Linked DNA regions of Mus musculus. The protein of the gene in region 2 purifies or fractionates together with the protein of the main gene of each other region. This does not show direct contact. Links are inferred from orthologs where the notes say so. Each region holds a gene or a part of one and is shown on either strand. Other genes may lie near its edges.

The links. The genes of interacting proteins can lie anywhere in the genome.
Region 1: the proteins of Prkaa1 (region 2) and Pars2 purify together in Homo sapiens (affinity purification with mass spectrometry; 3 studies listed by BioGRID and IntAct, with this or other methods). This does not show direct contact. The link is inferred for Mus musculus from reciprocal best matches to the Homo sapiens genes PRKAA1 and PARS2.

The regions. Positions count from the first base shown.
Region 1 is NC_000070.6:106,649,784-106,653,868, reverse strand, and holds the start of Pars2 (probable proline--tRNA ligase, mitochondrial), read right to left. Parts: upstream 2,801-4,085; 5' UTR 2,738-2,800; exon of another isoform or gene 2,721-2,737; intron 1,601-2,720; exon of another isoform or gene 847-1,600; coding exon of another isoform or gene 739-846; coding exon 1-738. UniProt on the Homo sapiens protein: Mitochondrial aminoacyl-tRNA synthetase that catalyzes the specific attachment of the proline amino acid (aa) to the homologous transfer RNA (tRNA), further participating in protein synthesis.
Region 2 is NC_000081.6:5,174,804-5,178,363, forward strand, and holds part of Prkaa1 (5'-AMP-activated protein kinase catalytic subunit alpha-1), read left to right. Parts: intron 1-1,682; coding exon 1,683-2,169; intron 2,170-2,275; coding exon 2,276-2,402; intron 2,403-3,560. UniProt on the Homo sapiens protein: Catalytic subunit of AMP-activated protein kinase (AMPK), an energy sensor protein kinase that plays a key role in regulating cellular energy metabolism.

The DNA of each region.
Region 1 (4,085 bases), on a different chromosome or scaffold from region 2:
TGCCCTGGCCTTCATCCATTGCAATCCCAGCCTGTCAAACAGCCTACAGTAAGCATCACACACCAGGCCGTAGGTTTCCTGGGCAGCCTCAGAGGAGGAATCAAAGGTGTACATGTCCTTCATATAGAACTCCCGGCCACGGAGAAGACCAAACCGGGGCCTGGGCTCATCCCGAAACTTCCTTGTAACCTGGTACAACAACAAGGGGAGCTGCTTGTAGGAAAGTTTCTTCTGGGAGGCAACCAGGGCTGTAACCGCTTCCTCATGAGTCGGTCCCAAGCAGTACTCTTTGCCGTGCCTGTCTCTCAGTCTCAGCAGCTCCCTGCCCATCAGGTCCCAGCGGCTGGTGGCCCGCCACAGCTCAGCTGGGCTGAGGCTGGGCATGTTGATTTTCTGCCCGCCGATGGCCTGCATCTCCTGGTCTATCACCCGCACAAGCTTCTCCACGGCACGCACTGTATAGGGCATGAGGTGGTAACAGCCAGGGCTGGCTGGAAGGATCAGGCCCACTTGCAGCATCAGCCGCTGGCTCTTACAGGTCAGGTCGCTAGCTCTGCCCTCCAGAGAAAGCACCTGGTCTTCCCGAAGGTTCTGAGGCTGGAACATGCGGGATAATACCAAGCGCTGCCCTCTCCCGGGCGCACGATGGTAACACTTGTGGATGATGTATCTGCAGTGACGGAGGCTGCAGGCAGCCAAGGCAGACAGTGTTCTGCATCTTGTCAGCAGACCTTCCATGACACCCTGGCACCTGGAGAAAAATGAGTCACGTGGGATGACGATTAACTTGGTTCTCAGCACGGGATCCAAGATGTGGATCCTTCCATGTCTATTAGCCCAGCACATCACAGTACCACTTAAAGAAATCCATCTGGGTATAGTGGCAGATGCATTTAATCCCAGCACTCCAGTACTTGAGAAGCAGAGACAGGCAGATCTCTGAGTTTGAGGCCAGTCTGGTACATAGTGAGTGCCAGAACAGTAAGGGCTATGTAGAGAGACCTTTTTTAAAAAATACAAAAACAAACAAAACAGACAAAAAACCAATAGCAGCAGCAACAACAGAAAGTCATATTCTTCTGATTATGAAAATGTTACCAGCCTGTTGTGGAGATAGCATCCAGTTATGCGCAGGCTCTAGATAAGGCAGTCGGCTCTAAACCAACTTCCACTGGCCACTTCCAGCAGCCTGCCACATCTGTAGCTACCCGTGTGCTAGAGTTTCATCATGAAATGATATAACCACCAGATCAGCCTTGTACATTTACTGTTGAGAATTTTTTTAAAGGTAGAAAAAATTCTCACAACAGTTTTTGGCACAGGCCATGAGCCTGGTGGATGTTTGATATTGTTACTATTTCAGAACACTGGGGAGAGACCCTGAAACAAGTCAATTGCAATCTCACAGGCAACAGCGAAGAGCAGGCTTTTTTTGGTTTTTGTTTGTTTGTTTTTTCTTCAATTCCTTGTCTCGATCCCTACTAAGTCAGTATTGCTAGGCGCTGAGGCATATTTGTAATCCCAGCACTTGGGAGCCAGAGGTAAGAGAATCAGCTAGGTTTGCACATCTGAGTTCCAGGACATCGGAGGAAATGAAAATCTGCCGCAACAAAAAAGTCAATATTGTTTTAACTGCTCCTCTCACCCACCACACATTCCTGGTCAGTTTGCATCTTCACTGTCCAAACTGTTGAATTTCTGACCTATATATTCTCCCATCTTTGGAGAACATAGTACACGCTATTTGAAACTTAGTGAGGCAGAATCTCTTCAGACAATGGTGCCCCTGCAGATCTGAGTATCACCCTGCAAAGCACCCTCTGGCCAAACCAGAAACCTGCCCTCATCTACTCTGCTCCACAGTACTGTCACAGTTTTTAGTCCTCTGGCCCAGCCTGCTCCACCTGACCAGCCTGCACCTCAGTTCAAGATACCATCATCCGTGACTGTTAAAACAGTCTCTACTGGCCTCCTTGCATTCCTTACACTTTCAACTTAACACAGGCATTGGTAATGACAGTTTCTTGCTGCCTTTCGAGTGTACCGCAGATCTCACCTGTAAGAGGCCTTTTCCCTGCCTTCGCCCTATTTCAGGTACACAGTACATGAACACACACACGATCCAGTCAGGAAAACTGCACACAGTGTGCTTGCAATGCCTAGTGCCCTAAAGGTTTGTGTATTATGATGCCCAATTCATAGGCTCTGAGATGGATCATAGGGTCATAGGCTCTGATTTGTGTCAGGTGACATCAAAAGGCCCATGGCCATTCTGGATTGCGGGAATTTGCCTCCAAATACCACCAACGTCAGCGCAGCATACAACAGCGATGAAACTTCCAACCCCTGCTCTATCTTGGCCTTTACGAGGAGTGAGCGTACTGCGGTCACTTCATTCCTCTTTAGAACCCTAAGGCGGCTGAGCCACCAGGTCATCCCCGGGACCGGTCCAAAATGGGCCCTTTTAGGAACTCTGTGCCTCTAAGTAAGGGCCACGCAAGGATAACTAGGGCGGAAGTGTTGCTCTCAAACAGCGGGGGTGGAGATGGGGAAAGGTGAACTGCAACCGAGCACACGACTATCCAATAGCCTGTGGCGACTGAGAGGATGCACGCGAGACAGCAGACACCAGATCGTGGGTGCGCGTGCCCAGAAACTGTCCCTAGATTCGCTGGGCCCTTCCTAGCCACCCTCCAAGTCCAGCGGCCACCGATGCTCACCAGCAGCAACTCAATACCTGAGTCGGGCGCTCTTCAGTCACGCAAAGCCAGTGCGCCTGCGCCGACATGGCCGGAGCCTCGCCCCCTGTGTTTCTCACCAATCGGAAAGCCGCACTCACGGGAGGGGGCGGGATGCTCCGGTCCCACGCTCTGGAGAGAGGCTGGAGAGGTTTTCCGGAAAGCAAACCAAAGAGCCTCGCTCTCCCGCCAAGATTCCGGAAGTGCCCTCTAGGAATTAGCAAGGTTCAACTCTATGATCAAACCTTACTTTAAAGGATTTGAGTCCTGTTTTTACCGCCCACTGCTAGGCCCGGTCTATGTGGAGAGCAGGTTCATTGACAATAGCTATGTTTCAAATCTACGCTATGATTGAACAAGCCACAATTTAAATGAGTTTAAAACTATGAAACACTTGCATAAGGTCACCTGTATTACAATAGCCAAGGAAGTCTTTTTAAAAAATTTTATGAAGCAGAGATGGGGTTTAATAAAGACATTTTAATATAGGCTGAAGCACTAGGCTTAAAAGCACCAGGGGAACTGGAGAGCACGGATGTGGCTTCTCAAAGGCGAGTGTCCCTGAGTCTTGAAGATGCGACTTGAAACATTCGTTGCTGTGCTGGTTAACAACCACTGCTGTGCTTCAGAGAACCAGTGTTCGGTTCTCAGCACCCACAATCACTGAAACGCCAGCTCCAGGGAACTCCAAAACCTTCTGACCACTGAGGATACCCACCTCCACTCCCACACAAACTCACACACACATACAATGAGGCTGGGTCTTTTCTTCATTTACAAGATGTATATGTACATGGTTTACATAAGTGTGTTATGTGGTATGTTTGTATGTGTGTAGGAACACATATACACGTGTGAACTAGTGTGTGAAGGCCCAAAGCTTTCATAGGTGTTTCTCATCCATCTCTACCTTATACACTGAGGCTCTGAACCCCCTCTTCATGTTTCATGGCACCCACTTTACCTGATGAGCTGTCTCCCCAGCCCTCACAAAATAGTTTATGAATAATTACATAGTACACGCTACTGCTGCAGCTGTGGGGAAGCAGAGAATGGGGAAAACAGCTCCCAACATTCATGTTAGAAGTGATGGCCTGTAAGCTGACACAGTCAAACTTCAGCCGACCAAGTGTCTTAGTCTGCTTTCAGTGGCTGTGAGAAAGATAACAACCAAAAGCAACTTGGGGAGGAAAGGGTTTGTTTTAGCTTATGAGTTACCGTCCATCCCTGGGGTGGGGGTGGGTAGCGAGGAGTCAAGTCTCAGGACAGGAACCTGGAGACAGGAATTGAAGCAAACACCACTGAGAAATACCGCTTACTGGCTTGTTCCTCATGGCTTGCTCAGCC
Region 2 (3,560 bases):
AACTCAGAAACCCGCCTGCCTCTGCCTCCCGAGTGCTGGGATTAAAGGCATGCACCACCACGCCCAGCTGAAATTTCATTTTATTAATGACACACTTTTCTTGTGGCAATATACTTTGAGTCATAGGAAATTGATTATTGTGCTCAATTGAGTATTGAGAAATGGCTGCATTGTGTATCATGGTTTAACCTGATAGTTTAAATAAGGCATGACTGATAGTGGCAGCTGTGCTTCCCGGGTTGCGGTAAGTCACGTCTCATGAACACTCAGTACTCCCTGGCCACCGTACTCTGTCATCAGTGTTTCTTTATTTTTGTTTTCCTTAGTTCTTTGATCTTCTGATGTCTAGAGTACACGTTTTTCTGATACTCAAAGTAGAAGGAACTAAAGACGAATAATAAGTAGAAAACATTAGGGCACATGGGACTTTGAGCTGGATTCCTTGCCACTGACTCCTTATGCTAGAAGTCCTGTTGAAGCTGGGTGTGGTGGTCCACGCCTTTAATCCCAGCACTTGGAAGGTGGAGCCAGGGAGATCCTGTTAGTTCATAGCCAATCTGGTCTACATAATGGTTTCAGGACAGTCAGCTCTGTAGAGAGACCCTGATTCAAAAACAATAACAAACAAAAAGACCTGCTGAAAAGAAGTCTCCATGTCGCGGCATGGCAGATGGGGAGGCAAACTCAGTTAATTAAATGGATATTATAAAATATGTAAGTGGGATGTATATTCGCACATGTTTTAGATATTTTTCATAACTGAAATGTGATAGCAAATGCTGGATCTGGTGGCGCACACCCATGATCCCAGGACTTGACAAGCTGAAAGAGTATGACCGTGAGTGTGTTTCCAGCCTGGGCTATGGAGTGAAGATTCCACCTCAAAAACCAGTCAGATACCCTTAAAAACCATTATTCTTTTCAGTGTTTGCTTTGTTTGTTTGTTTTTAAGTTTTAGTATAGTTCTTGTTATGGTTCCATGTCCTTTCATATATAGAATTAATGAATACAATATGAAATTGTTCAGAGGTTGGTCTTTTGAGTCATAGAACTGGGTTGAAAGGACGAGGGTAGATTTTAAATGGATGAATTGTTTATCGTGAAACTCAGCATGGAGTAAGAATGCATAGGATGATATTGCACACTGTTTTTGTTAGTAAGCTCTTTTCCTATAACATGAAATAGTGTAAAAAGTGAAGCCACACAACATAGTTTCTTTCTGGGCTGGAAAAAGACTGTCCTCAGTCATTGTCCTTTGGGTAGACATACCAAATTTGGCTGCCTTGATCCTCAAAAATTAGTGGCAGGGGACTAGAGAGATGGCTCGGCTGTTAAGAGCACTGGCTGCTTTTCCAGAGGTCCTGAGTTCAATTCCCAGCAACCACATGGTGGCTCACACCCATCTACGGTAGGTTCCAATGCCTTCTTCTGGTGTGCAAATTGTACATACAGACAAAATACCCATACACATAAAAGTATATAAATAAAAAATAGGTTGTAGACTAATGTTTTTCTCAGCATATTCAATGAAGTATGAGCTAGAAGGGGAAACCAGTTTAAAGAGAACAACTGTAATAATGTAGCATGAGTATGAACTCATTCATATCCTAAACTCTGGAAACTATTACTTTTATTCTTGGTTTAACTGAAAACCCTTCTTCCACCATTGCTGTCTCTCTTAGGGAACACGAGTGGTTTAAACAGGACCTTCCGAAGTATCTCTTTCCTGAGGACCCATCTTATAGTTCAACCATGATCGATGACGAAGCCTTGAAAGAAGTGTGTGAGAAGTTCGAGTGTTCGGAGGAGGAGGTCCTCAGCTGCCTGTACAACAGAAACCACCAGGACCCACTAGCCGTCGCCTACCACCTCATCATAGACAACAGGAGAATAATGAATGAAGCCAAAGATTTCTACCTAGCAACCAGCCCACCTGACTCTTTCCTGGACGACCACCATTTAACTCGGCCTCACCCTGAAAGAGTACCGTTCTTGGTTGCCGAAACACCACGGGCCCGGCACACCCTGGATGAATTAAACCCACAGAAATCCAAACACCAAGGTGTACGGAAGGCAAAATGGCATTTGGGAATTCGAAGTCAAAGCCGACCCAATGATATCATGGCAGAAGTTTGTAGAGCAATCAAGCAGTTGGATTATGAATGGAAGGTAAGAAGGCAAGTGCTCTCTCTGTTTGGTGAGCCTGTAGCCAAAGCCCTTTGTAGGAGAACTGATGTGATGATGTGCCTTTGTTTTTGTCCATATCCAATGCTAGGTTGTAAACCCCTATTATTTGCGTGTACGAAGGAAGAATCCTGTGACAAGCACATTTTCCAAAATGAGTCTACAGCTATACCAAGTGGATAGTAGGACTTACTTGTTGGATTTCCGTAGTATTGATGGTATGTACACGCAGAACCCTGGAGGTCATGTAGTTATATAGCCTGCTTACCTCATTTGCTTTATAGTCTTTGTTTTCTTTCTTTCTTTTTTGAATAAAAACTAAGCATGCAAAGTAGTAAGCTTCATATGGCGCCTTCCTCCCTTCTCTCTCTCTAGCTTTTCTATCCTCCCTCCCTCCCTCCCTCCCTCCCTCCCTCCCTCCCTCCCTCCCTCCCTCCCTCCCTCCCTCCCTCCCTCTGCATGTGTCTCAGAACACATGGGACAGGCTGCAGAAGTCAATGTCAGGTACCGTCCTCCTTCACCTTCCATCTTGCTTTGGAGACAAGGTCTCTTTGCACACGGGTGGTTGCCCTTCAGGGTACACTCACGGGCCAGCAAGCTCCAGGGATCATTTAATTTCCGACTTCCAGCTTTGGCGTAATGGGCGTGCCCTCGCTGGCCTGGCTTTGACATGGGTCTGGGGATCAGCGGCAGGGCCTCCTTATCTACTGAGCCTTCTCCCCAGCCCCCCAGTGCACGCTGCCATACATGTCCTGCGTCCTTGGCATCCTCCTCACTGCCCTCCACCTCAGCTATGTCTTAGGAAGCTTCCTGGCCTTTTCCTGCTAATTCATAGGAAACATGACTTCCTATGTTCTGCAAGACTGACGTTTGTGAAACCTGTTATTCTTGCTCCATGTAGCATATTGATTTATAGATTATTGGGGCTAGGGATTTAGGTCAGTATTGAAGTTCTTGCTTCACTGGCTTCAATCACCATCACCTGACTATTGTTCTGTAAAATCTTTAAAAATATACAGGGTTTTTGTTTGTTTGTTTTGCTTATGCTCTAAGTGATGTTTGAGAAGCTGCAGGGTAAGAGCGCTGATCTGAGGTGGGGAGGGTCGAGCTCTTGAGAGGTGGGAACTGTCCCTTTGGTGCCTTGGACAAGTCCCTCAACTTCTGGCTTTTTATATCTGTAAAATGGTTCCTAGGTGAGACAAGTTCCAAGATACCTTTCATACTGCAAGTGATCGATTCTGTATTTTTTGTTTTGTTTTGTTTTTGAGACAGGGTTTCTGTGTAGCTCTGGCTGTCCTGGAACTCATTCTGTAGACCAGGCTGGCCTCAAACTCCCAGAGTTGTCTTTGCCTCCTAATTGATGGGACTAAAGGTGT